Linked DNA regions of Canis lupus familiaris. The protein of the gene in region 2 purifies or fractionates together with the protein of the main gene of each other region. This does not show direct contact. Links are inferred from orthologs where the notes say so. Each region holds a gene or a part of one and is shown on either strand. Other genes may lie near its edges.

What was found.
Region 1: the proteins of PPP1R15A (region 2) and EIF2S1 purify together in Homo sapiens (affinity purification with western blotting; 4 studies listed by BioGRID and IntAct, with this or other methods). This does not show direct contact. The link is inferred for Canis lupus familiaris from reciprocal best matches to the Homo sapiens genes PPP1R15A and EIF2S1.

The regions. Positions count from the first base shown.
Region 1 is NC_049229.1:41,624,580-41,639,306, reverse strand, and holds the start of EIF2S1 (eukaryotic translation initiation factor 2 subunit 1), read right to left. Parts: upstream 6,376-14,727; 5' UTR 5,879-6,375; intron 5,654-5,878; exon of another isoform or gene 5,634-5,653; intron 1,712-5,633; 5' UTR 1,711-1,711; coding exon 1,470-1,710; intron 1-1,469. Other genes in the region: ATP6V1D (V-type proton ATPase subunit D), read left to right, coding at 6,653-6,693, 11,026-11,143. UniProt on the Homo sapiens protein: Member of the eIF2 complex that functions in the early steps of protein synthesis by forming a ternary complex with GTP and initiator tRNA. This complex binds to a 40S ribosomal subunit, followed by mRNA binding to form a 43S pre-initiation complex (43S PIC).
Region 2 is NC_049222.1:108,158,069-108,172,785, forward strand, and holds PPP1R15A (protein phosphatase 1 regulatory subunit 15A), read right to left. Parts: upstream 6,300-14,717; 5' UTR 6,009-6,299; intron 5,374-6,008; 5' UTR 5,365-5,373; coding exon 3,397-5,364; intron 2,987-3,396; coding exon 2,639-2,986; 3' UTR 2,550-2,638; downstream 1-2,549. Other genes in the region: TULP2 (tubby-related protein 2), read left to right, coding at 1-65, 312-483, 758-891; PLEKHA4 (pleckstrin homology domain-containing family A member 4), read left to right, coding at 8,744-8,827, 9,966-10,073, 11,465-11,537, 11,653-11,753, 11,911-12,020, 12,570-12,785, 13,154-13,433, 14,452-14,526. UniProt on the Homo sapiens protein: Recruits the serine/threonine-protein phosphatase PPP1CA to prevents excessive phosphorylation of the translation initiation factor eIF-2A/EIF2S1, thereby reversing the shut-off of protein synthesis initiated by stress-inducible kinases and facilitating recovery of cells from stress.

The DNA.
Region 1 (14,727 bases), on a different chromosome or scaffold from region 2:
TTCCTCTAACAGAAATCAAGTAATAAATCCTCTTAGTTTCTATTCACCTGAAAAAGTCATTTTGGATTTTCATCATTGAATATTTTAAATATCCTAGAATCCTGGGCTGACAATTTTTCTCTTTTAGTGCTTTAAAGATGTCATTCAATGCTCAGTGTCAGTCAGCCATTATTTTCAGTAAGAGTACCATACTAATTTGTATTACTGTTTCCCTGTAAATCATGAATCATTTTCCTTTGATTACTTTCAAGATTTTCTCGATCTGTTTTCCAATAGTGTAATGTGCCTAGATGTGGTCTTACTAGTATTTATCCTGCTTGAAGTTTGTTAATAAGCTTCTTGTTTATAAATCTGTTTTTTTTCGGCAAATCCTGGGAACTCTGGTCAGGATTTCCTCAAATATGTTTTCTGCCCTTTCTCTTCCTTTGGAATACAGCTTTTAATATTTGACAGGTTGTTTTTCCTCTGCTTTGTTCTTCAGATTGGTTCTTTAAACGAACTATGTGCAAGTCTGACTTGGGCCTTCTGCCATCTTTACCCTGCTCTTAGCCCATTTGGTGAGTTTTTTAGAGATTATACTTTAAATTTTAAAATTTATATTTAGTTCTGAGAGTTTCTAATTTCTCTTTTTTTTAATTTATTTATTTATTTATTTTTTTGAGTTTCTAATTTCTCTACTGAGATTTCATTTTGTTCATTCATTACAAGTTTATTTTCCTAAAATCCTTGAGCAGTTATAACATCTGTTCTAAAATCCTTATCTGCTAACTCCAATATTGTCACCTCTAGGTCAGTCTCCATTTGCTTTTTCTCTTGTTTGGGTAATACTTTCCCATTTCCTCAACTGTTTAGCAATTTTGGACATTATGAATGAATATTCATAGAACACCCACTAATAATCAAAGATATACAGAATACTGTGTTTTGGGTGTTTGTGGTATATTCCTTTTCCAGAATTTATATAAGATATTCTTAAAATCCATTTACCTTTACTCTATTTCCATGTTCCTCCAATAATCTGATTACAAATTTAGCTTCAATTGAATTCACAACCTTAAGACCAAGACCTGAGCTGAGATCAAGGGTCAGATGCTTACCCCACTGAGCCACCCAGGCATCTCAATAAAAAGGAATCTTACAAATATATGAAAACTCTGATTTATGGATCTGTCCCTTCTGAGTTTAGCCACAATGAGTCAACTATCAATATCCTGGTAACCTCTGGGAATAAAAGTCAAGTTATTTGACTCACAAACATTAGCCACAGGAACGTGCTAATTAAACCACCACTAACTTAAGAGGTCTTGCTTAGATGGGTAATTGGCATCTTTCTCTAACAACTTTGTATGTAAAAAAATTTAAGTATAAAAGATTTTTTTTTGGTTTTTACAGCATCAGCAATTTACAAAAAAATTAAAATAAATCATGTTAAATCTGAAATTTATATTTTGCATATTTTTATCACTTACCTTTTTCTTTGTCCACTCTAATGACAACCACACATTCATTCCTGCCAATTCTGATGAGTTTGTTTATAGAACGGATACGCCTTCTGGACAACTCACTAAGAAGAATCATGCCTTCAATATTGTTGTATTCCAGCAAGCTGACATAAGCCCCCATTTCAGCAATGGACCTTACATTCACCATCACTACATCTTCCACTTCAGGAAATTTGTGTTGATAAAATCTACAACTTAGACCCGGCATTCTGCATTTTAAACAAAAGAATCAAGTGAGTGTTCAGTTAACATCAAAATAAAGAAATGTCAATTTTCCATATCTTGCCACTGGAAGAACTATTTGTCTTTTCACCTCTTTAAACTTCTTAAATGGACCAGAAAACGGATGTTCAGGAATCAAACTTTAATTTTTACTTTGCTCCACATTTTTTAAGGCTTGAGTGATTCTCTGCCATCAGTTTTAGAGGAATCATAAAAAATAATGACCACCTATAAAGTACTTTGAGACCTAAGGATTAAAGGTATATCTCAAGAGTAAATTACTATTTTAATATCATCACTTTAAGAAATAACAAATGATGGGAAGCATCACTACTACTATAAACCTATCAGCCAAACTAAAGCTACTCGTTCTCCAAGTCAGCTAAGTCGTTGTATACTACCACCAATATATAAAGGGAAGACTCTTCCAACTACTAAAACCATGGTCCTAATCATATATCAAATAATATACCCTATCATTTTAGCCAAAATTACAGTATGTGTTAAGATACAACCTAAAAATTTACTAATCACAAAATATTAAATATAACTAAACACAACTAAATTCTTTTATTGAACAAGTATACCTACTCTCGTATAACTACTCTTGAGAATAGCTTTACAGAACTCCATTACTATAAAGTTCAAGTGTCTCTTAAACTCTATTTCCTTTGATCTATCCAACCTACTTTCAGCACCACTCCTTTTATGACCTACAAGACTTAAATTATACCATGCACAGAGGTGTATTTTTAAAAGAGGACTATAAAACTAATCATAGCTGATGATTTTCATGTTTTTCTACTAATCTTAACCAATTTACTATTCTCAAAGTTCACAAAATAGGCAGTGATAGGACCTAAAAGCCTAAGAAAAGTATGTGAGAATTTGTTTACTTCTTTTATTTTTTTTAGAGAAAGATAGAGAGCAAGTAGGGCAGAGGGCAAGGGAGAGAGAATCTTAAATAGGCTCCACGTCCAGCGTAAGCCTGACGTGGGGCTTGATCTTACGATCCTGATCTTGGCCAAAAATCAAGAGCCAGACGCTTAACTAAGCCACCCAGGCATGCCAATTTTTTCCCTATAATTGGAAAATAAGGCTGCCATTACTTGATCTTAAAGACAAAACATCCAGATCATAGAACACCAGACTTCTGGGGCAGTACAGTTTGAGATGCCAACTGCACCCACACGTATCTTCACAGTGGCCTCCCACTGACTTTTACATCTTTACACTACCTACAGGATCCTCTATGATCTGGCCACTGCCTCTCTCCCATGTTCTCTCCATTTTACAGTTGAAGAAATGGAAACACAGATTAAGTAACTAGTTCTGTTATATACTGTGAACAAGTGATAGAATATGAACCTATGAAGTTTGGATCCATAGTCTGTGCTATTATGCATCAGGCTGTATTTTCACTGTTTTGATAAATATATAAGTTACAAACAGCTTTTAAAAAAGGTAACATTAATATACATACTCAGTGCTAAAATATGTACTTTAGCAAGATTAATGCAAGCTTTTATTTCCTTTTAAAAAGATTTTATTTATTTATTCATGAGAAGGGGGGGGGGGGGCAGAGACACAAGCAGAGGGAGAAGCAGGCCCCATGCAGGGAGCCCGATGCAGGACTCTATCCTGGGACCCTAGGATCACACACTGAGCCAAAGGCAGAAGCCCAACCGTTGAGCAACCTAGGCACCACAATGCAAGCTTTTAATACTAATCTATCCTGTTTAATAAAAATAAAGCAAAATTTAATAATAGCAGCAGAAATGCATTTCTTTTATACCTTGACAAAATAGGGATTTAGCAAATAAAGGGCAGTAGACATTTCAATGGCCAGAATTACCCACCAAGAAACAGCTGAGCTGGTTGTTTCATTCTTAAACAGGGCTTTTTTCCCCCCTCTCTCTTTTGGAGAACTGTTGTCAAATATCTGTATGTAAAGCACTAAAGTTCGAGAGCTAAAAGTTTTAAACTGAATATCAAAGTAAATGATGTCACAGAAATGTGTTTAACAGTTTTAAAAGATTTAACAGGGACTAACTAACCACATTTACTTACCAGGTTTATTCAAACAGTAAAGCTGATTAATTTTGGGGAAGTAAGACTTAATTTGATGATTAAAGAACACAGGCACTTTTGTAAAGGAATCCTGATGAGAGATATGAATGTTACTGCTTTAAGAGGTACCAATCTCTTTACAATACATAGCGTACAAAAAGAACACAAGTGATGGTATGTTATTTGACATAGAAAGTAGCTAAGAATTACAAAACACTCTAGACATGGATTCCAAGCCTTGCTCTCCTACTTACTAGCTGTAGTTGCTCGGGAAACGCATTCCCATTAAACTGTAATTTCTAGTCTGTGTCATGGACCTCTCAGACCTCTCCTCTCTTTGGAGAGTAACAAATGAGATTAAGAAATATGGAAAAAATTTGAAAAGTGTAATGTGCTATACACATATGACATTAAAAAGCAAAGTGGGTATCATTGCCATTTTGTAGCTTCATTGGTTAAACAATTATTTTTGCAGTATTTATGTACTAAGCACTACTGACACTTAAAGAGTCTTACTTAAGAAAGTATAGAGCGGGAAACAAACTAGTAAGCAAATACAAGCAATATAAAGTACTCTGAAAGGAGTAAGTGAAGCAATCAATTAAAAGGGAACCAAGGAACAGAAATATTAAATGACTTTCTCAAGGATAAATACTTAGTAAGTACCAGAACAGGAACTAAAACCAAGTCTTCTGATATTAATTGCAGAATACCTTTAACCCAGAAGGCGTCCGTATGTGAGAGTACTAAAATACAGTATGTGTTCTTCCACACAAAATATCTATATTTCAATAATATATTAACTGAACTCCAAGCTAATTTCAAATACCCTGCATTGTCAGTAATTTTGCCTGGTCAAAGGGTAGGTTGGACTTCTTTCTTAAACCAGTGCATGGTCAAGTAACCCCAACAGATCCGGGGAGTCCCCATCACTTTACAAAGTTAAGTGTGTTATGTGATAGAGGTAACTCGTGAGAATTCCCACTTGGCTCAAATGTTTCTGGGGAACGTTCTCTGCATGCTAGTTTTTAGTAGAGCAGTGCTACGCAAATAGGCTCTCAAACTGTTTCACCGTAGTTGAAATAGAAAGCACCCATCTACAAATATCACTCTTCTTGAGATCTTAGGAGAATAATTAACTGTCACTTGGCATCAGACCAACTCAGAAGAGGCAGTAAAGCTCTATATAATTCACGAACTGCTGAAAAGACACAGAATCACAAATTTTTTTCCTTGATAACTTCAACTGGGAGAAAAACCAACACTGCCTTGTTACAGCTTTGCTCCAAGAAAACAATGTTTCTTGTTTAATGAAACAGCCTAAGTTCGACGAGTAATAAAAAAGGCCTCAGGCTGAATACGTATTTAACCCCCAAATTCCCTTATCTTTTTAGTTATGCTTAACCGTTGGGGCCACAGCTTGTCTTTTCTCATTGGTGCTGAGATACGGCAAATTGACACTAAGAATAGTAAACTCTTCAACGGTATGTTTTAGTTTCGATGCAAGGGATGACTCGTTCTATAAAAATGCACAAGTCAAGCGACACGGTAGTAAGCATCAATTTAAAAAAAAAAATCAATTATCGGACAGATAAACTATTCTTGGATCCTTTTAACCCAGATCTCACCAACACTGCGGCCCACCCCAAATGGCCCTTCAAGCGCCTGGTCTGGTTTCCACTGAGAAGCAGTAGTTGCTTGGGCGGAGAAGGGGAAAAAAAGAAAAAAAAAAAAAGGCGAGCGGTGGTATTCTGAGGCCCCGAGCAAAGCGCTGAGCGTCCCGGGGCGGGGGTGTCACAGCGTTTCCCCGAAGCCGCCCCCCTCTCCAAGCAGCCTCACTTTGAGCATATCGCAGAGGCTGCAGCGTCTCCTGGCTCACTTGGCTTCACCAGACTCCTCGGCTGGTGCACGGACACCCTGAACACCGCGGACCCAGCCGGCGCCGGCGGGGGGGGGTCGGACACTTCCCGCGCAGGAACGGGAAAGGGAGGGGTGTGAGCCCGGGGCCTACCCTCCCCCGCACACCCGTCACTGCACACAACCAAAGCGAGTTCTTAAAGAATCTGATCTGGGGAACCAGTCACCTGAGGTATGTGTGTGAATCCTGCGCCGGGATCCCGCGCCGTGCTCTTTAATCGCAGAGATCGGACAGTCCACCCGCAGCAGCGGCCGATCCTCAGCGTGCGCTCGGCTCTACCCCACCGCGCATGCGGAACCGCCTCGCATCACGCAAGCGCCCACAGCATAGAGGTCCCTCTTCCTCACTGACCATAGAGTCTAGGTCCTCCGGAAAAAAAAAAAGGAAGGATGAAGATCATAGGAGGACCTGAAAAGTACGCTTTGTCGAACTCTGTCGTTTTCACTAAGTAACTTTCAAGGCGCAGGAGGAGTAGGACTGATCCCTTGTCCTTGAAGAATTAACCCTCGCTCGAAGCTTCAGGCAACCATGAGGTGGCGCTGTGACCAAGATGAAAAGGGGAGGAAGAGAAGGCGTGTACTCTCCTCTCCTGTTCTTTCACCTCGCGCGTGCAGAGTCCTGCGCAGCCTCCTGGGAGTTGAAGGGGCGGGGCTTGGGGGAGAACCGGAAGTGAGGGGAAGTTCAGTGCGGGGTGCGAGCGAGGCCTCAACATCCGGGCATCGCCTCATTCTTGTCCTTCCCCCCCGCTCCCCGCCCTCCCCACGTGCCAACAGGAAGCGGAAGTGAAGGATGCGTATATACGTATCCCAGCTGCCACTTAGCAACGCGAAGAGGTCAGGTGACACAATCAGCTGACTCCCGTGGAGGAAGACCCTGTGGCTGGGGCTGTTGCAGCCACGATTGCCCGGCTAGGGATCCGAGCCGAACTATCACCGTCAGAATGTCGGGCAAAGACCGAATTGAAATCTTTCCCTCGCGCATGTAAGTAAAAGAACGGGTCGAGCAGCATCCGTAGGTTCACGAACGCCTGTCCCGAGCTGCGATCCCTGCATACCCCGGACCGGCAGCGAGGTTCCTTGTTTGCTGGGCGGATCCTGAATTTCGTGAGTTTGGGGCGATGCACCCTTACGGCCCCCTCACAAGTCCCTCTGAGGAAACCATACGGAACAGAGCGATTCCAATCCGTAGGGACAGGCTGCCCGGCCTGCTTGTTTTTATGGAGGTGCGCTGACTTAGTAATGAAGCCATTCATCCCATATTCCCTTATGTAGCTGGGCAGTGGATTTATAGAACTATGAATCGTCGCCAGTTTTGCCTAAGGGAGTTCGCAGTTTAACGGAGAGATGGACCAGCCAGCGAGGTTTGATAAATACTCTGAGAAGGGAAGTTTACAATGGTGAGAAGCACATAAGAGAGGCGTCCAGGCCAAATTGGGGGTTGAGTCGAATTGCCCTAGCGTGGACATCAGATTCAATCTTGGATCCTTTTCCTCATTTTCCCAGATCCCACGAAATGTCACCTGCAGTGGGAAGATATCCCTGAGTTTCTGAGGCATTCCGTTTGCTCCATCACCATTGCACCTCGTTCAGACCTCTGTTATACCACCCATCAGATTATATAAAGTGAATATTTGTTTACACACCTTTCCCCCTGATTGTGAGCTGTCTCCAGGAGGAGAGAGCGTCTTGATAATTAACCCATAGAAAATCTACAAAAAAATTTCTTTGGATGAACCCATGTCTTCTTGGGATCTGCTCACTTGTGGCCTGCCCTTCTCTTGGGCCTGAATTCTTTCGCGGGAGAAAAAGCATTAGAGCCCCAGGTGGCCAGTTTTTAAAGACAGTTTTGCAGTTTTCTCAGATGTGCCTAACAATGCGTAGAAAGTAAAGATTATTATTTGCCTTCTCTTCTACTACTTTTTTTTTTTCTTCTTCTTCAGTGAGAAGTAGAAAATCAGTTAGGCTTTGATATTTAGATCTTTTGATTGTGGTCCTATTTCTTTGGGAGTGTTCTGGGTTTTTTTTTCTTCATCTTGATTTTTTTTTTTTTTCTCAGAGAATCTGGGAATGCTTAAAGTAAAAGAGTTACATTCAAATCCCAGACTTAGATTTGTTTCTGCCAGGGTAGCTCTAGCTGTTAATGAAATGAAAGAGTTCTTGGATTTTGTTTGCTTATTTTTTACTTTCACCTACTGGTTTTCTAATAGGTGTTTGTACTAGGTAGGAAGCAAGTCAGTTGTGGAGAAAAGTAGTGCCTGTAAAATAGATAAGGACCAAGGCTACCCTGGGATGGTAAGATCTGCAGAACTCCCAGTACTTGACTGACTAAAAGTCTTCCCTGAGACACCACCAAACTAGCATGGCCTAAGGCTCTGTTCTTAGAATGACTCAAGCAACCATTAAAATGCCTGCCTGAGAAAGCCCAGTGCTACCAGGAGAATTTTTTTTGTTTGTCCTGTCCAATACCTAGGATAGCCCTTGACCTCCCTTTCTTAAGGCATTTATTAAAAATAGCTTATAATTAGAAGTCTTTTCTTTTCCATTTGAGATATGTATGTCTCTCCTACAACTCAGAAGTGTCGTTCTCAACGATCTGAAAGCCATTTCTTTGAAATGTAGTCATTGGGAAGGATGAGGCTTCTGTCTCCCAGTCTCATGGGAAGATAGAATCCTAACTTCCATGACTACCAGCTAGCAGGCACAACTAGCCAAGTGTCATTTTCAGTGATCAACCCTTTGTAATTTTTCACTTCTGTGACTCTTCTTGAGTCCACTCTAGCTCCTTTCCCTTATTCTTCCTTTAAAATGCCTAACCACTTCTGTACAAGTCAGAATGTAGTTCACCTCTTTCTCCTACTTTCAGTGATTACTAAACAAAATTTCTTTTCACCACTTTAATGTCTGGCTGTGTTTATTTTTGATGGTACTCAGAATGTTAACATATTTTTGTTTGTACTTTGAGTCTAAGAAGTGAAAATGGCCTTCTTTGGGTTCAGACAAGAAGACTAATAGGTTTATAAAAGTGAAAATTGCTACTTGAGAGCACTCAGCTTGGTGATTGAGAGGAAAATAAGGTGCAGGAAGTTACTGCTTCTCTAAATATTTTCCTCAAGACTTAACAGCAGGTATTTTGTCATGCAGTCAGATGTCTTTGATTCAGCTGAAAACAAAGTCATCATTCTAGCTGAAGGTCGAACATTTTTCCTAGAGCTGAGCAGCTCTGTTTTTTTTAAAGAGCTAGGATAGAAAATACTATAGTGACCTCTGTGTCAGACAGTTCCACCATACAGTGTTACCCTGTGAAGTGGGGCTGTCTCCCACTTAGGCACCAGAAAGAGCAAAACAAGGTTAGAGTGAAAGCGAAAGAGGCATGAAGGATTTGCAGTCAACAGAGGTCCCTCAGATCCAGATTCTACAACATACTAGCTGTAAACTCTTGGGCAAATCACTCTTCAAGACTCAAGAAATAAAATTTGTCTATTTCACAGAGGTGCCATTAGCTAGGAGTAAATTAAAATTAGCATGATTAATTTTATCAATTGGCTTACCTTTTTTACTGTATTGAATCTGCAGCTAGGATTTGACTTAAATTTGATCCTCCAACTCTTTGAGCCCAAATTCTGGTCATTAGTGTCAACAACATAATATGTTAAATGTACACATTGGGCTGGATAGTTCCAGCTCAGGCTAGAAGCTGAACCGGCTTCACTTAGACCTCCAGTGAGGCCAGTCAGTGCAAATTCAGCTACTGACAGTAGTTTTCAAAGAGGGAACTGTTCATCTGATGCTATTTATAAATAGGCAGTGTGGCATGTGGTTGGGATACAGTGGGCCTGGGTTTGAGCTTTAGTTTGAGTCTTGGGCAAGAAACTGGAGTCGGAAATCTGTTTCAGTCTAGTCATCATCATTGTCCCCATCCCGTCCCCCCTGTGACGGAAGAAAGTGTTTCATTTTTCTAAGCCTCATTTTCAAGATAATATTTGAAGCTTCTTTCAGCTATAGAATTGTCTGTGTAACCTTTTCCCTATGGAAAAAGATTTCAGTAAAATCTAGGAATTTACCCAAAGGTCCATTAATAAAATCTAGGAATTTACCCAAAGGTCCATTAATACATTAATACATGCTGTTTTGCGATAGATTATGGTACCAGTCATATGAAATTATATCCCCTTATACAAATACCTTAAGTATCTACATTATACAATTGATCGTTAAATCATCTTACCTACTTTTTTTTATTACTATGTTTTATCTGGCATATGGTAGTAAGAACAGAAATGTCAATTTCTGCTGTTACTTTCTTGACTTTGGTATTGGGGTTTCTGATGGGAAAAGTTTGGAATAAGGAGGTAAGGAGATTTCTGTAGTTTGTCACTACTCAAATATGTGTCATTGGTTCCTAGAGTCATTTACAAAGTAATAAAATTATTGGTGATAGGATATTGACTGGTGAGATGAAAACACTTTAAATGCCATACTTTTAATAGAAAAAGTAATTAATGGTTGTGGTATCTAATACAAAAGGTTCAAAAGATAATAAATATAGTAAAAAGTAAATAACATATTTTCACTCAATCCCATTTCTTAAAGGCAGCTGTTACCAGTTTCTGTGAATCTTTTCTAGAACTGTTCTTCGTATTTGTATAAGCATATTCATCCCTTTCTTTGCATAAGAGAATATAATATAGATTATATTGTTCTTTTAGCTTTCTCTTTTTTTTATGACTGCATATTATTTCATTGTATGATGAACCATGATTTATGGAACATTTAGCTTGTTGCCACCTTTTTGCAATTACAAGGGTGGAGTACTCATTCTTAACATTGTATATATTTTTGTGTACATACGAGAGTAGATCTGTAGGATAAATTTCGCATAGTGGAATTGTTAGTCCCGAAGGTAAGAGCATTTCAATTTTTGATATTAGTGGACAGATTTAAAAAAAATGCTTAATACAGCTGTAATGGAAATACAGATATAAAAAAAAAAAAGGAAATACAGATATAATTTGAACTTGCAAATCAAATATTTTAGCTATGGTGGTATAAAATAGGACCCCTAAGAAATTGTATTATGATTTAATGTTTTTCCAGATATTGATTAAAGAATTATTTCTGTTTTAAGTAAATGAACTTCTTATTTATGGAGCACTGAAGATGGAAATTTGCAGTGAGAAACTAATTTTGTCAGCACAAATGCTATATATTCTTATTTTCATGACATCAAAAAGTAAAGCATAACTTTAATACTTTATTGGGGAAGTATTTTTATGTTTTCTAAACAGTGGGAATAAATATTTTTAACTTTGTATAGGGCACAGACCATCATGAAGGCTCGATTAAAAGGAGCGCAAACGGGTCGAAACCTCCTGAAGAAAAAATCTGATGCCTTAACTCTTCGATTTCGACAGATCCTAAAGAAGATAATAGAGGTAGAATAAACTGTGTTTACAACAGTTGCTTATTTTAAAGATACCTAAGGAAAATCCAGCATGGCTTTTGGCATTTTAATTTTTCTTTAAGTTATTTTAATTAAAATTTTTTCCTCCAAAAGTAAAAATACTATTATGACTAACAAGCTTCAGATCATTTAATAAAATATGGACTCATTACCCTTGCCTGCAAAGCCCTACTTGATCCGATCTGGCCCCTGCCTGCCACTCTGATCTCATTTGGAGCGTTCTCCCTACCATTTTCTTTCCGAACCTTTTCATTAGTTATTTCTCCTGCCTGAAATGTTCTTTTCCAGGACTTCTTTTGACTTGCTCCTCTTGTCATTCTGGTCTCTTCAGAGAGGCCATTCCTGATCGCCCAACCTGAAGTGACCACTGTATTTACTTCTGTCACATATCTTTCTTTTTTTTTTGTCTTCTTTCTTTCTTTCTTTCTTTCTTTCTTTCTTTCTTTCTTTCTTTCTTTCTTTCTTCCTTCCTTCCTTCCTTCCTTCCTTCCTTCCTTCCTTCCTTCCTTCCTTCCTTCCTTCCTTCTTTTTCTTTTTCTTTTGATTTATTTATTTGTGAATGAGCGAGAAAGAGCAGGAGCATGCGCGGGGGTGGGGGTGGGGTCAGAGGCAGAGAGAGTCTTAAGCAGATTGCACTCAGCCCAGAGCTGGATGCAGGGTTCAGTCTCATGACCCTAGGTGAAACCAGTAGTCCAGTAGTCAGACACTTAACCAGTTGTGCCACCCAGGCTTCCCACATTTCCTTAGTTTTGTCATAGCACATACTACTGCATGTTTTCTTGTTTGATTGGTTGCCTCCACTAGAGAGTGTTAGTTCCATGAGAGCAGGGACTTAATCCTTTCAGCACTTAGTTCCTGTTCCCAGAACAGTGTTGGCACATAGTATGTTTCAACTCAGTACTTTTTTTTTTTTTTTAAGATTTTTTATTTATTTATTCATGAGAGACACAGAGAGAGAGAGAGAGAGAGGCAGAGACACAGGCAGAAGCAGGCTCCATGCAAGGAGCCTCATGTGGGACTCAATCCCGGGTCTCCAGGATCACACCCTGGGCTGCAGGTGGCACCAAACCGCTGCGCCACCGGGCTGCCCTCAACTCAGTACTTTTTAAGTAAATGATAGGTGAATACAGAAATACATTTAAAAAGTGAAGATCCCTTCTCACCCCCTACCCTTCTCTCATTTCCTAGAGATGTTCTCTGGAACACTTACAGTCTTTTTTTCATCATGGATGTTTTCAGTAACACACAGCTGTTATACATTATATAGTTCAGTTCTGCCTCTTCCCCCTGGCAGAGTATGGGTAGCTTTCTGCATCAGTACGTAGATCTGCCTCTTTCTTTATGATAGCTGCATGGAACACCATTGAATGGATAATGGGATTTAACCATTTTTCTGTTGATGGATGTTTGGTTTTACTATTTAGTGGGTGAGGGTACTTTTAATCTTCATGTATAGGTGAGTACTGACGACACGGACTCCATCTTTGGCCCTCCATCTTGTTCATGGCTGCGCTGTGACCTTCCTCAGGGCTCTGTGTTATAGGCTCCATGGAGGTTTAATGTGTGCCCTGACCAGAATGTAGGGAGGCATTGTTCTGATCCTCTCTAGAGTGGTGCGCAAGTAACTCAGGTGGGTGGCTGGCTCGCAGGAGGCCCCACTTGAGGTAACTAGGGGGGGTGGCTGGCCTGCAGGAGGTGCCACTGGAGGTAACTGATCAGAGTGGCTGGCCTGCAGGAGGCACCACTTGAGGTAGCTTTACTGTGACAGTCACACTATGCCCCTCCCTCTATAAAAGCAGGGGATTATGGGCCAGGTTTGGTGGAAGAGTAGTCTCTTGGGTGATTAGCTGGTCCAGTGCCTCCTGTGGGTAGGTTATCCTGAGTAAAATGGTGTAAATGGTTCTGGAAGACTCGTGATGTTTTTTATTCTCAGGGTGCCTTCTGAGTCTGGGGGATACTTGGCTGGCCCTTCTCCACCTTCTAAGAGGCAGCAAGCCAACCTGGAGATGAAATGAAGCCATCCAGGCCAGGCAAGGGAAGCCCAAGCTGGTGGCCACCACAGTGTGGGGAGAGGTGGCCTGGCCTACGAGTGTGGAGTTTTGGGGGAAATGCCCCAGGGGTAGTTAAGTGGCCTGCCTGAGAGGGGAAGGGAGAGGAGACTAGTGGTAGCTGGGCCCTCAGTCTGTAGGTGGTGGAGCGCCTTGAAGGAGTCGGGAGTCAGAGAAGACTGGAGAAGCGTTGGTTCTGTTAATCCGTGAACCACCTGTATCTCCCCTCAGGATGTTGTGTCTGGAGGAATCCCACAGCAGGAGGGACACTTGGGAATTCGGGCCGGCTGTGGGAGAGCGGAGAGCTTGGTTACCCACCATTGGCTGCACACTGAAGGGAGAGCTGTGATGTCTTAAAGTGGGGTCCCTGGGGTAGTGGCTCTGATGAGGCTGACTGTGTCCTACAGGAGGAAGATGATTTACAGGTGCCCCCTCTGATTGCAGCAGAGCTCCAGGCCACTTTGCCTGAGGATGAGGGAGAAGAGATTCCCACTAGTCAGGAAAGGACGGTGAGGGACTATTCTGTCTCGGACTCTCAGGATCAGGTCAACTGTGTTAGGCAGGGCTGCCACCAAGGGGTGGCAGCTTGGCTGTTACCACGGTGGGTACTGGGGAAGATGGTATCCTCTTGGAGGTCTGGGATGTCAGAAATGGCCCCAGTCACTGCTCAACCTGCCTTGCGACAAAAATTCTATGCCACAGTCCTGGGTGAGAATCTCATGCGCCTAGTTAGTTTGACTGGATAAATGTTAGAATTAAGATAACTTGGCCTAAAAGGGGGATGTTCTTTGATCTCCATGGAAGAACTACAAGTGAGTCTATGTGGACTGGTAATGAAACCTGTCATTTACACCTAGCAGTTAGAGACCTAGATAAAGAATACTCTCCTTTGGTATGGAAGGCCTTCTATTACAGTCAGCCACCAGGGCATGGTATGGGACTTAGTATCTGTCCTCGCCCCTGTGGTTAATTGGCCCATTGCGATGGTAGCTACTATGATGGCTGGCTTAAGTAAAACCAGAAGAATCTGTCATAAGGGAAATAGGTTGAAAAACGGGAAAACAAATCCTCTGGATGATAAAATGGAAGAAAGGGGGCCCATCAAGTTCTCTTAATTATGGCAAGATCTAATATTATATAGGACCCTGAGAGAAAATAGAGACAACCCGATTTGGTTTTGCTAAGTCTATGGAAAGTGTTGCTTAAGGGAAAGCAGTTTATTCCTTTGGAAAGAAGGCTCAAAAAAACCAGGTGTGTCCCCGGGAGTTCTGCTAACAGAGGAATTTCAGGGGTGCATGCCTCTTACACCTAAAGACTAGGGGTTAGGCAGACATTGTGCTCTAGTGCATATAGTAGGGGTGACCAGAGGCTTCATGTTGAATTAACCATTTATTGGTCTCACAGTAACACACTGTATTAGCTTTAAGAGACAATGGAACTGAACGTACACTTATAGAAACCCCTTGAAATTTTGGGGAGAAATAAGGGCTGTTGATGTTTATGTGGG
Region 2 (14,717 bases):
AAATGAATGTGATCATTCCAGAAATCGATGCCCAGAACCAGAGAATCAGTGTCCAGCCACAAAACGTGAGTTGGCTAAAGTTGGGTTGAGACTCTGGGTCAGGGCCGGGAGGAAGGTCTGGGGGATCTGCTCTAGGTCCTAAGGGCGAAGAGGGCCTACGGCTTGCAGGTAGTCATATGTGAAGCCAGAAGGGCTTTGTCAGACTTTTATGTTTGTCAAAGAGGAGAGATTAGGGACTCAAAATTCTGAGTCCGGAGGAAAAAAAAAGTTCATTGGTGGCAGTTAACCATGCCCCCTACTTTATCTTCTAGGGGCTGGAGTCACTACTGAGTCGCTTCCAACGGGGGGCCACCCAGAGGCTCATCCTGCTGCAAAACAAAACCCCCTTGTGGAGCCAGGAGAACGGCACCTACGTACTCAATTTTCACGGTCGAGTCACTCAGGCCTCGGTCAAGAACTTCCAGATCGTGTATCCGGATGACCGTGAGCTCCTAGGAATCAGTTTATACACTTGGGCAAAGGGTAATGAGAGGACGAGAACTACTTCTCCCAGCAGCCCTTGAGCATTTTTCTAGGCAGGGCCGATTCCACGCAGTTGCAAAGCCTGCTGGGAGCTGTAGTTTAAATGGCCCTCAGGGTTTCTGGACGTAGTGGGAGCTCAGCACAGCCTCGGAGAAGTAAGAGTTCTCTGAGTTCAGAGGACGTTGGAAGGGAGTTGAGAGGTGGGGCTAGGCTTAGTTCCTGACTTCCTCCTCAGTGGACTACCTCGTGCTCCAGTTCGGCCGCGTGGCCCCGGACACGTTCACCATGGACTTCCGCTTCCCGCTTTGCCCACTCCAAGCCTTTGCCATCTGCTTGTCCAGTTTCGATGGAAAGCTGGCCTGTGCGTAATCCAATGAAATGTTGTACCCTTACCAGCTGATGTGCCTGCTCATTTGGAGAAAGGGCCCCCGCGTGCCTTCGTTTGCACCACGGTTATGGTTTGTCATAACCAACACAACACAACCAACACATCATACACTGCCTGGGGGCCCAGTCCTCCCTCTGCTCCAGGGAGTGGGTGGGCTTCTTGGCAGCACCCGCTTTTGCCAAACTCAGAGTCATGGAAGATGGATGGGTCTTAAACAATCAAAAAAAAGAAAAAAAAAAAAGTCAAAATGCTCCTCTGCTGCAAAAGAGAAAAGCACGCTGGAGCACAGGTCAGCTGGGTCAGATTAAGGTGTCTCTAAAAAAGTGATTTTCATGCCACATCTGAAAAATCATAAGGAACTAGAGCCAGAGGGATCAGCACATCAGGCAGTAGGCAGAGCTCATACGAAGGTCTTATGGTGAAAAGGGGCTTGATGGGTTTGGGAAAATGAAAGGATAGTGTGGCAGGAGCTTGGGGAGCCAATAGAGCAGGGCAGGGTCAGAGGCAGGCCAGGGGGCAGGATATTTGCACCACTCTTCTTCGAACTACTGGACAGATCTTAGGAGGTCAGAAAAGACTTCTAAGTTGAAGTTGTAAACTTGGATGGGTAATTTAAGATGTGCATGGGTGAGAGTGAAAATAATTACCATACTAGCACACTTACATAACATTGGTTATTTGGTGAGGATTGTTTTATTTTTATTTATTTTTATAAGGATTGTTTTAAATATAAACTTGGGATACCTGGCTGGCTCAGTGGGTGAACAGTGGGATCTTGATCTCGAGGTTGTGAGTTCAACCCCCATGTTGGATGTAGGAATTAAAAATAAAATCTTAAAAAAAAATTAAAAAATGCAAATAAATCTGAGCTCTTTTGGGGCCTTAGAGTCCTGTAAGGCATGTGCTATTTTTAGCCACATTTTATGGGTAAGAAAACAGCTTATGGAACGGTTTACAAAGGTGAAATTGGACAGCCGAAAGCCTTGAGCAAATCACCATATATTTATGTACTTTTAAAAGATTTTATTTATTCATGAGAGACACAGAAGGAGAGGCAGGCTCCTTGCAGGGAGCCTGATGCAGGACTCAATCCCAGGACCCCAGGATTGCAAATCACCATTTAAAGGCCAGTAGGGGGACACCTGGGTGGCTCAGTGGAGCATCTGCCTTCAGCTCAAGGTGTGATCCCGTGGTCCCAGATAAGAGTCCCACATTGGGCTCCCTGAATGGAGCCTGCTTCTCTCTCTGCCTTTCTCTGCCTCTCTCTGTGTCTCCATGAATAAATTAATAAAAATCTAAAAAAAAAAAAAAAAAAAAAAAAAAGGCCAGTAGGAAGATAAGTTGATTCCAGGGAGGTCCAGAAAGCTGGAATTGATCCTTTTTTTAGAGATCAGTGAGCCCAGCTCCAGGCCCCCTAGGAGAGATAACTCCCAAGTTTAATAAAATTTAGGCCGATGCCAAAGAAAAGTGACAAAACCCACCAGCCCTTAGTTCAAAAGCGGCTTCAGGACAAGAAGAGGCAAATTTGAGGATGATGGGAAATAGAAAGTTTGTCCTGTATTGAGGTACTCACCTTTATCCCACGGGTGGTGGATAATTGTTGGTTCAGATACAGACAGTAACATACACACAGGGGACATTGCTTGCTACAAATCAGAAGGTTTTATTTCTTGTATGAAACCACACACACAAAATAAATAGTTCATATAAATAGGAAACTACATGATCTTAGCCACGCCTCCCACTGAGGTCCAGGCCAGGGGATAGGGACACAGGAATGGAGGGAGATGCCCCAACATGGCTCAAGGGTGTGGTCTGGATGGAGGAGACTGGTAAAGTCTGGGCAGGAGCAGGTGTGGTGGCCAGAGGAGGGGTAGGGTTCCCGCAGCGTGCCCAGGCCCTGGCCCGGGCAGCAGGGGTGAGACAGGGGCCCAGCTGCTCCTGGGCCTGGGCGATCCGCCGGGCGAAGCGACTACGATCTCGGGCGAGCTGCTCCCAGGGTCCGCGGCGGGCTGCCTGAGCCGGTCCTGCCCAGACAGCCAGGAGATGGACAGAGACTTTCTCGGAGAAACGGACCTGGAGACGGACCAGCACAGACACAAGACACACGTGTCCACAGGGGGGGCAGGGGGGAGAGAGAGAGCCAAAACAAAAATTAGTTGCACAAAAATGCTTGTTATCTTAGTCACCTGCTAGTCGCTCACCCACGGGATTCTCCATGTGACTCACTGCAGGTGGAGGCTGTTTCCTGGTGCTGACATGAACCACAACAGCTTCCCTCTTCCCACAGGGCCTCTTCCCATGGGGCCCCAGCCTCTTGCAAAGGATTGCATTACAGTGAACACAACCCTCCCAACAGGGTTTGCATGCAATCCCCTGCAACACACAGGGGGTCCAGAAATTGGGGCACTCAGGCCTTCTGCCCCCAGGCCTAGGACTTCCAGCTCTTCCCCTAAGACTTGAGAATTTGAGCCCTCAGTACCCACCTTTCTGGCCGTTAGGGGAGTCTCAGGGTCTGGATGCCGGGTGGGGGTTTCTGGGGGCTTGAGTCGCCTCTGCAGTCTGAGGGGCAGCCGAGGAGGAGCCCAGGGAGGTGGTGGCTTTTCTCCAGGTAAATAGATGGCCACTCGGAAGGGGCAGGGCTCAGCTTCTCCCCCTCTCTCTGTGTCCTCTCCAGGCTGGTATGTCCAGCCCCTGAGGAGGGTGCTCTGAGCCTGAAGTGAGGGACTTGGCTCTGAGTTAACTGCTTCTGAATCATCATCTTCCTCTGTGTCCTCTCCTGGCCTATACACCCAGGCCCTCACGAGGGCACTTGTGGATGGGATGGAGGAGGGATCATATGCTTCTCCCTCCTCTTCAGCTGCTCCTGAGTCACCGTCATCTTCTTCCTCTGAGTCCTCTCCTGGACAATACACCCAGGCCCTCACGAGGGCACTTGTGGATGGGATGGAGGAGGGACCCTCAGCTTCTCCCTCCTCTTCAGCTGCTCCTGAATCACTGTCCTCATCTTCTTCCTCTGAGTCCTCTCCTGGACGATACACCCAGGCCCTCACGAGGGCACTTGTGGATGGGATGGAAGAGGGACCCTCAACTTCTCCCTCCTCTTCAGCTGCTCCTGAATCACTGTCCTCATCTTCTTCCTCTGAGTCCTCTCCTGGACGATACACCCAGGCCCTCACGAGGGCACTTGTGGATGGGATGGAGGAGGGACCCTCAGCTTCTCCCTCCTCTTCAGCTGCTCCTGAATCACTGTCCTCATCTTCTTCCTCTGAGTCCTCTCCTGGCCGATACACCCAGGCCCTCACAAGGGCACTTGTTGATGGGATGGAGGAGGGACCCTCAGGTTCTCCCTCCTCTTCAGCTGCTCCTGAATCACTGTCCTCACCTTCTTCCTCGGAGTCCTCTCCTGGCCGATACACCCAGGCCCTCATGAGGGCACTTGTGGATGGGATGGAGGAAGGACCCTCAGGTTCTCTCTCCTCTTCAGCTGCTCCTGAATCACTGTCCTCATCTTCTTCCTCTGACTCCTCTCCTGGCCGATACACCCAGGCCCTCATGAGGGCACTTGTGGATGGGATGGAAGAGAGAACCTCAGCTTCTCCTTCCTCCTCAGCTGCTCCTGAATCACTGAATTCATCCTCCTCCTCCTCCCATTCCTCTCCTGAGCAACACTCCCAGGCCCCGGGGCAAAAGCCTGAAAATGAGGAGGAAATGGAGCTTTTTGTGGCTTCTTTATCCTCTGTTCTTTCTTCCTCTATGGCTTTATCTTCTTCCTCCCTGGGACAGTACACCCGAGTTTTGGGCTTGGATCTTGGAGATAAAGGGAAAATCGGTGTTCTGGAAGCTTCTTTGTTTATAGCTTCTCCTTCCTCCTTTTCCTCCCCTGGACAACACTCCCAGTGTGATGGAGGAAAAGAGAAGAACATGACCACTTTGTCTTCTGCAGCTCCTCCTTCCTCAGATTTCTCCTCAGAAGGGTCCTGTGGGGTTCTTATCAGAAGGCTGGGGGACAGGGGAGCAGGCTGGCCATCTAGGAATTCACTTTCCTGCTCTTTAGGGACACTGGTTGCTGCTTGTTCCCCACCATATTCTTCATCTTCATTATCTGAAAGTCCCCCTGCTTTAAGAGAAGAGCTGTTGGCTTTTAGATTATGGCGGGCCCCCCAAAATGCTTCTCCATTCTCATCACTTGCTCCACTGTCTCCAATCTCTTCTTCAAAGTGCCTGCCCCAGAGGGGATGGTGGGGGACTAGAAAAGTCTTAGCTTCTCTCTCCAGGCCAGGTTTTCCCCGATCCGTTTTGGTTACTGCTTCCCACGGCCAGGGTTCTGGAGATCCTGGGCCTCTCAGGTGGCTCCAGGCCCTGCTGAGAAGGCCCATCAGCGGGGACAGGAGGAAAAAGGGGTAGGTATCCCTCCAGGGGGCAGACTGATGGGGCACTTGGCCTGGGGCCATCTGTCTGTGCTGGAAATAAACAAAGGAAATAGTTTAGAAGCCATTTAGGGAAGAGTATCAAGCGAGGACTGAGTCATAGCAACCATAAACAGTAACACAAATAGCAACAAGAGAGTCCCTGCCCCACATTCTTGCTGATTTCTGCCACTTCCATCTCTAGCAGAGGCACAGCTTTCCCACCTCTCTTCTCTCAATACCCAGGAGTCAGAGGTTCCAGCCTCTTCTCTCAGACCCAGCAGTCCCAGACCCCAGAATTGAGAACACAGGTCCTCGACTTGCTTCCCTTGGGGACAAGGTCCTAGTCCCTGGTTCTGTCATTTTCTTGAGGATCGACAAATCAGGCCCTCATCACCCTCCCCCCTCTGAGACTCAAGAACTGCGGCTCCCCCTGCCCAGTTCCATCCCTTCCACCAGGGATCCAGGAGTTTGGCTTCCAGAACCCTCCTCTCGCCAGGCTCAGGCCTCCAGGCTCCCAATTTCTTCTCCTGCGTAGGTCTGGGCCCTCGAATCTGTCCTGGTCCCATCTCTCCCCAAATACAGGAGTTCCGGTTCCCAGGCCCTCCTTCCTCAGGATCCTGGGGTCCCGGCCTCAAATTCTCCTGTCTCGGTACCCAGAAATGGGTAATCCCTTCTTCCTTACTGACCAGGAGTCTGATCCCCAGCTCCCCAACTGCTCGGGGCCCAGGCGTTCGGACCCCTCGCTCACCGATGGGGGGCTACGCGTCAACCTGGGGGCAGGAGCGCCGGCTCGGGTTGCCACCAGCGATCGCAGCTCAGGACGGCTCGGGAGGCCAGCGCGTTCATCTCGCCCTCCGGTGTCGGGCTCGGGGACTCCGGGTACCACCGGCTGCTGCAAGCGCTGTCGCGGCGAAGGGATGCGGCGTCCTGAACCTGAGCGTGTAAGTTGCACAGCAGAGCTTGGAACTGACGCAGCCTCCAAAGGCCTTTATAGCCCAGCGCAACCTCACGTGCTGACGTCACGGGGGCGGGGTTTTGAAACCAAAACCACCCGGCTCGGGATTGGAATTCTCGCGGAGATTCCAGGGGTTTTATGACGACACAACGACGTTTCCGAGCGCGACCACGCCCGAAACGGGCGAGCTGTCAATCAAATGCGTGCGGGGCTTCGGGAGCCGCGGGTTTTCTCCCAATTCCCGTTCCGGTGCGAAAACGCCTTCCCAAAACCCCAGTGTAATCAGCAGGCCTCAGACCAGAGTCCCCCCTTCACAACGGTCCCGCTTCCTTCCTGGTTGGGGAGATGGTTGATTCCATTTCACAGATGAGAAACTGAGGCTCCGGAATGAAGTCCCTTGGCGGAAGTGGTCACAGCAATCCACATTGATTGCAGATGAGAACAAGAATGCAAGCACGCTGAAGGCAGGCACTTGGCTTTGCTCACTGCTTTTTTCTTTCTTTCTTTCTTTTTCTTTTTTTTTTTTTTTAAAGATTTTATTTATTCATGAGAGAAACACAGAGAGAGGCAGAGGCACAGCCAGAGGGAGAAGCAGGCTCCATGCCGAAAGCCTGATGCGGGACTCGATCCCGATCCCGGGACTCCAGGATCAGGAGGCGCTAAACCACTGAGCCACCCAGGGATCCCCATAATCATTGTTTTTTTTTTTTTTTCCCCCCTCGGTGCTGGACACATAGTAGGTGCTCGACATATGTGGGTGAGTGGATTCGAAACCAAAACCTCAAAAGACTCCTTAACTGGTCTCAAGCCCGAGGCTCCGCACCTGGATTTCATCCACTTCAAACTCACAAGAGCTCATACACAAACCGAAATTCTGGCCAAAGTGCATCCACTGAACCTCATGGGAGTGGGGTCTCCAGCCACAAGTTTCAGACTCTGGGACACAGTCCCAATTCCCTGCCCCATCCCTCCTACCTGGTCCCTAATTTTGCTCCTTGAAATATCCTCAGTGTAGAACACAGTGCTCACCTGGATCTGAGATAGATGTTTGGCCATGGCCCCTTGACCCTGCCCTAGCCATGATCCAGGAATCCGGGGTCACTCCCTCCTCTGGAAAACCTGGACCTGTCCACCCAGAAACACCTTTCCAGATGCCGGACTCCGTTAACAACTCAGGAGTTCTAACTCCAGGCTCACACCTTTACACCTTTTCGTGTATCCAGAAGTGTGAGCCCCCTCTATTCCAGGATCTCAGCTACCTCCTTTTAGGGTACAGTGACCTGGGCCCTGGAGTCCAGGCCCAGCTCCTCCTCTCCAAACAGTTAGGAATCCCAGCCCAGCAGGGACCCAGGAGTCAGGGGAGCCCCAGCCCCTCCCCTCAGCTGTGGGGCACCGGAGCCAGGGGTCAGGCTTGGAAGGGGTGGGGGGAGGCCAGGAGGGGCGGGGTCAACCGGGATTGGAAGGGGAGACCGCAGCGTGGGCGGCTGGCAGACCAGCAGGGAGGAAAGAGAAACGGAGAGGGGAGGAAGACAGAAGGGGAATCTGAGAGAGAGGAGGAAACAGCGTCGGTGGGGACAGAGATAGAGAGAAGGAGGAAGAGCTAGAGGGTGGGGGTGGGGGGGGGAGAACGAAATGGAGACCTGAGGAAGAGACTCTGTGTCAGCCCGAACGAAAAAGATCTGGAACAGAAACAGAAAAGACTGGAAGGGAAAGTGCTGAGGTGGGGGGCGGGGAAGAGAATGAGTGAGAGAGAGAGACTGGAGGAGACAGATTGAGAACCGGAGAGACCAGGTGAGGCCAGAGACAGAGACACTCGGAAAGAAAGGGAAGAGTGATCAGAAGAGGCAAGAGACAAAAAAAAAAAAAAAAAAAAAAAGGCAAAAAAGCCTGTGAGTGAGCAGGTGAGAAGGGAGACAGGTCTGAGAGGTAGCCCCCTCCGCCCCCCCAGAAAAGGAGGGACACTGCAGCTGGGAGCCCCAGCACCCACACTGTCCTCTCGCTCCGTCTTTGGGACCCCAGAGCTGGTAAGTTCCCTGGCTGGCCTGGGAGGGAGTGCCTGGGCGTGCATTCCAGGCGTCCCAGGGCTTGGCAGGAATGGCTTGGGGGTGTGTGTGGGAGGGCAGGAGACAGGTAGCTGGGGGCTGCTGGGAAGAGCCAGAGAATAGGGGCTCCCTGAGCACAGAGAGGGTCAAATTCCTGGCGAGAGTGCAAGGGGGCAAGAATAAAGGAGCCCCTATTCTCTGTCTTGGGCTGCCGGCAGCTGCCAGTGCCGCCCACCTCTGTTGGCATGGCTCTCGGTATGCAGTCCCGGGCCAGGGCCTCCCCCAGCCCCCCAGTCCCCAGACAACGGGCTCTTTCTCCTCGGCCTCCTCCGACCTGCGAGCCCCTGACCCCGGCTCTGTCCCCAGCTGGGTCAGCTGCAGAGACAAGGCACACAGCCCCTTTCTTTCTCTCCCCAAGCCCTGGATGGAGGAGGGCAGACCCCGGAGCAGCCTCAGCCTGGCCAGCAGCGCCTCCACCATCTCCTCTCTGGGCAGCCTGAGCACCAAGGTTGGAGCTTCTTGGAGGGGCTGGGGAGGAGGGCTGAGCTCTGGGCTGCCCCATCCTCCTGTTTCCCAGCCCAGGGTTCCGTGCCAACCCAAGGGATTCCCCGTTGCTAAGAGCAAGGATCCATAGCAGTGGGCTCTGCTACACCTAGTAAGGTCCCAAATTGCCCATCAGGCCCAGCTAGGAATTCAGAGGCACTCCCAGCTGTCCCCACCCCTCGTATTTTCCTAATTTAACCAGAGTAACGATCCTGCTGGACTCTGGTTGCTAAGATAGGGCTACTCCCCAGCCATGAGGCTCCCTCCAGGAACTCAGGCAGTGGCTGCCCTTGACTGGGACCGAGAACTCCCTATCCTACCTCTAGCCATCCTACCCAGTTCTGAAATCCTATAAGGAAAGACGTTTCTCTGACAATGAGGCCCCAAGAGGCCTGAGACACTTGTGTCACAAATAGTCACCCCAGGCCAAAGTCTAATGACAACACTCATTTCTTTGTCGTCTGCCACTCTGTTTACTCATTTCCAGTTTCCCCAGTTCAGAATCTAGAGATTCAGTCCCAACCTTGGTCAGCGGCATCCCCAAGGAATGGCTTCCTATGGGACTCTGGCTGTGTATGCCTGAGATGCCTGCATGGACTGGAGAGGGGGCTCCCCTCTATTGGGAAGGAGGGACTTGGAGCCATCTCTCTGCCCTGGATGTGGTTGCTAAGAGATGTCACTCCCTGGCACTGAGGCATCCTCCCATTCAGCTGACCCATCACCAGGGACTCAGCATGGAAGTCTTTCCTGGTTATGGGGACCTCCCAGGCAGTATTTCCAATTCTGATCCCAAAGACTGCACATCTCTGGCTCTGGTGGCCAACGGCATCCTCTCCTTGGCAGCAGACCCTTGATTCTCCCATCCCTCCCCCATCAGTCAGTAGCTTTTTCTTTTGCCTCAAACACCCCCCGGCCAGTCGCCTATTCAAAGTGTCTGTCAACTGGTACCATGCACTTCCAATTCTGATCTCAAGATTCAATCCCCTCCTTGGCTTGGTTTCTAAGGGCAGCTGAGTGAGGCCTTGGGTTGCCTGCATCCCGTGGCATCGCCTCCCCAGGCCGATCCAAGGCTCTGTTCATCTCTGTCCTCCATCTCTCCTCAGAAGCCTACCCGGGCAGTAAGCAAGGTGCACGCCTTTGGGAAGAGAGGCAATGCGCTCAGAAGGGATCCCAACCTCCCAGTGCACATCCGAGGCTGGCTTCATAAGCAGGTGGAGTGAGCAGGAGAAGGGAAGGGACGCTGAGTGACGCTGGATGCTGGGTCCCTGGCTGTCCATTGTTTCTCTTCTTCCCAGCCTCCAAATTTGTTTTGTTTTGTTTTGTTTTCTAATGGTGCTTCTCCCCTTTTTATGCCATTGTTCCCCGCACCTGTTCATTCATTCATTTAGTGACCACTTCCTGAATATTTATAACGTGCCTAGCCCAAATAAGACAAATAAGTATCTATAGTCTGTTGGAGATGGGGTGGGGCAGGGATAGATAATACATGAGCATATTTCAGATGGTAGGGATTGCTATGAAGAAATAACACAGATGGGATGCCTGGGTGGCTCAGTGGTTGAGCATCTGCCTTCGGCTTAGGTCGTGAACCCTGGGTCCTGGAATCGAGTCCTGCATCAGGTTCCCTGCAGGGAACCTGCCTCTCCGTCTGCCTATGTCTCTGCCTCTCTGTGTCTCTCATGAATAAATAAATAAAATCTTAAAAAACAAAACAAACCACAGGAGGATACGCACAAAAGTCTCAGTGGGATGAGAGGCACAGTTTGACTCTCCGTCAGGGAAGGCATCTCTAAAATGACATTTGAGCCAAGAACTGACCAGAAGGAGCCTATCATGCTGGGGTCAGAGGGAATCTGAAAGCGAGCTCTAGGAGCGCTCAGACTCCAGAATAATCAGACCAGAAGTCTTAGTATGCAAAGTTCCTGCCTATGTGTTGTATAGTAGCTCATGTCAACCTTCCAGTAACTTCCCAATCCCCTATTAACTCAAGTATCTAGCCAGGAGATGACTAGTCTAATGGCATAGTTTGACAGGGGTGGAGCTAGGAGACCAACTCAGGTCTGACTGTGTCCAGAATCTGTGTGAGCTCAGCCACCACACTCTAGCTTCCAGCTCTCCAGCTCAATCTATTGCATCAGACATGTGTCTGTTCCTCTCCTCTCTCTGGGTTTCTCTGTCTCCAGGTGTCACTGTCTTGTATTGTCTTTCTTTTCTCTTTTCTTTTCTTTTCTTTTCTTTTCTTTTCTTTTCTTTTCTTTTCTTTTCTTTTCTTTCTTTCTTTCTTTCTTTCTTTCTTTCTTTCTTTCTTTCTTTCTTTCTTTCTTTCTTTCTTTCTTTCTTATTTATTTGAGAGAGAGAGAGATAGCCAGAGAGCACAAGTGGGGAGGGGCAGTGGCGGAGAGAGGGAGAAGCAGACTCCCCACTGAGCAGGGAACCCATGTGGGGCTGGATCCCAGGACCCCAGGATCATGACCTGAGCCCAAGATAGACTCTTAACCGACTGAGCCACCCAGGTGCCCCCCTGGGTGTCACCGTCTGCCTTTCCACATTTCCTCTCCGCACTCCCCCTCTACTCAGGCCTCCTCTCTCTCTGTTTCCCCAGGACAGCTCGGGGCTGCGGCTCTGGAAACGCCGCTGGTTCGTCCTCTCCGGCCATTGCCTCTTCTATTACAAGGGTCAGTGCCCTGACTGGGGAGGGATGGACGCCCCCTCCCCCCCCCCCCCGCCCTTTCCCTTAGCCTCCTGGCCTTCAGATCCTGCGCTGTCGCTGACCCCAGCCCTCTTCTGCAGACAGCCGCGAGGAGAGCGTCCTGGGCAGCGTCCTGCTCCCTAGCTACAGTATCAGGCCCGATGGCCCAGGGGCCCCGCGAGGGCGGCGCTTCACCTTCACCGTGAGTCTGTCCATCCCCCGCGGGCACTAAGGCGCTAGGCCGTGGGGGCGGCCGGGGGAGCATTCATTATTGGAGCTAAAAAGGCTTGACCAGGGTCCACGGCATCCTCCTTTTTGGAGGGCCCGGGCGTCCGGTCCCCAGCTCTCTCTCCCCGCAGGCTGAGCACCCAGGCATGAGGACCTATGTTCTGGCCGCCGACACGCTGGAGGACCTGCGGGGCTGGCTGAGGGCGCTGGGCCGGGCTTCTCGCGCGGAGGGGGACGACGGGTGGGTCCAGGTCCTGGCCACGTCCCAGACCTCCACCTCCAATCTGAGCCCATCTAACCATCCCACAGCCCCTCCCCTTTACGCCAATCACACTTCTGGCTAAGGAGACGCCGCCCTTCAGGCCCCACCTCCAGGGACCTTCCTGTCTTCCAATCAGCAAAAAGTCTTTCTCTTCTAGACACCGCCCACCGTTTCGTCAGGCCCCACCCCTTCATCAAAATTCCACACTCTCTGATTGGCTCCCTCAGAAGTCTCCACCCCCGAGGCTGCCACCTAAGGAATGTCAAATATAAGAGGAAAGTCCCGACTTTCCCCAAGTTTCAGGCTGGAGACTCTGGGACTGGATGGACCTTGTAGCCCTGACACTAGTCACTTCCACACGAAGGGCCTCGATTTTCCCATCTGCGAAGTGGGAACAACAATTTACAGTGCACCACCTACCCTTTCTTTTATTCTGTGTAGGTTCCCGTGTGCTAATCCACGAAATGGGAATGAGGGCTGGTTATGAGGTACAAAGGAGTGATGTCTTTTTCTGTGCTCACTCATTAGTGGACGACCCAGGTCACCTGCACGTCCCCAGCCTGGAGAGGGCCCTGGAGGCCCCGGTGGTCCCCCAGAGGTGACCAGAGGGGAAGAAAGACACGGCTTAGAGTCACCAGAGGTGGCTCGGCTCTCCAGAGGTCGTGGAGGACCCGGACTGCTCACTCCCAGCCCCATAGCTGATCTCCAGTCTGGACCTCGGATCCGGAGGACCAGGAGCCCGGAGTGAGTTGAGGGAGTCTGGGTTCAGAAGGTTCTACAGGGCTGAGCGTCAGAGGAAAAGCTATGTTGAGGGCATGCCTAAGAGGTGGGGACTGGGTCTGCTTCGGGATATGGCTTAGTGCTTTCTCCCTTTAGTGGATGTGAGTCGCTAGAGTTCTCATGGGGTCGGAACCCATAGGGGGAATATCCTAAGGAGGAGATGCCACAAAGGGAGAAATTATTATTCAGTATCTGGGTAATAGAGTGGGGTTCTACTGTAGAGGGACAGTGAGACACACTGAAAGGGGATGTGTCCCCATGCGGCTGACTGGGTGGGTAGTGGGGAAGGGGGCTCTAGGTCACCCAGTTCCCCTATTCTCTCCTCCCAACAGCCTGTTCACACCCCTCTCCCGCCCTCCCTCCCCTCTGAGCCTCCCCCGGCCCCGTTCTGCTCCTGTACGCAGACCCCCTCCATCCTCTGGTGACATAGCACCTCTCGCCAGACCCCATACCCCTCTGAGTCGCATCGATGTCCGGCCTCCCCTGGATTGGCCTCTCCAGCGCCAAACACTGTCCAGGCCACCCACCCCCCGGCGAGGACCCTCCTCTGAGGCTGGGGGAGGAAGGCCCCCCAGGAGTCCCCAGCACTGGAGTCAGGAGGCCAGAACACAGGTGAGCAGCGAGGTAATGGTGAAGGGGACTGCATTTCCCATATGGCCATGGTCTGGTCTGCAGGCCATGGTCCCCTGGGCACCATGGGGATTGTGGTTCAACATAATCAGGGCTGGGGGCAGCCCCGGTGGCTCAGCGGTTTAGTGCCTGCCTTTGGCCCAGGGCCTGATCCTGGAGACGGGGGATGGAGTCCCACGTCGGGCTCCCTGCATGGAGCCTGCTTCTCCCTCTGCCTGTGTCTCGGCCTCTCTCTCTCTCTGTGTCTCTCATTCATAAATAAAATTAAAAAAATCTTAAAAAAAAAACCACAACATAATCAGGGCTGGGTTCAGATGGGAGGGCAAGTGGACTTCATCTCCCATCAGCCCTCAGGGCTGTCTTTTCAGCCCAGTCTCTGACCATTACACCTTAAGTATTATGGGAGTTGTAGTCCAGAATACTGTCATTCCAAGACCATCCTGGGAGACGTGGTGTGATTGCATCCGTTTTGTGTCTCCAGTTTATCTTTCCAAGATGGTTACCTGCTATTTCCTCTGAGCATCATGGAACTGTAGCCCAGAATATCCACAGTTAACCACAAATGTGAGAGTAGACTGCAACTTTCATCAGCCTCTGGGGCAATTTTGCCAGGCTTGTCCATTTATTATCATCCTATGTGTTCCCACAGTGGTACATAGCTGGAGAACAAGTAGTTGAAGTTCAGAGACCCAGTTTTTTTTTTTTTTTTAAGGTTTTATTTATTTATTCATGAGAGACGCACAGAGAGAGGTAGAGACACAGGCAGAGGGAGAAGCAGGCTTCACACAAGGGAGCCCGATGTGGGACTCGATCCCGGGGCCCCAGGATCATGCCCCAAGCCGAAGGCAGGTGCTAAACTGCTGAGCCACCCAGGGATCAGAGACCCAGTTTTGAACTTCAAAGAGTCTCTTAAGTTATATCAATTCTGGACACACCCACTCTAATATATATTACTAAAACAAGTAAATTTCTCAACATTTCTATTTAATATTCCTCCCAGGTCCCCTCTGGCTCCTCCACGTATCTCCAGCTACCCCCGAGAGCTCCTGGGACACGGGCTTCCATGGTTTTATTGGTAGGTGTCCTGGGGCACTTTGAATCTGCTGGAGCCTGTCTTTCTTTCTTTCTTTCTTTCTTTCTTTCTTTCTTTCTTTCTTCTTCTTTCTTCTTTCTTGCTGCCTGAGGGAGGGAGGAAGGAAGGAAGGAAGGAAGGAAGGAAGGCAGAAGGAAGGAAGTAAGGAAGGATGTACGGGAGGGAGGATTCTT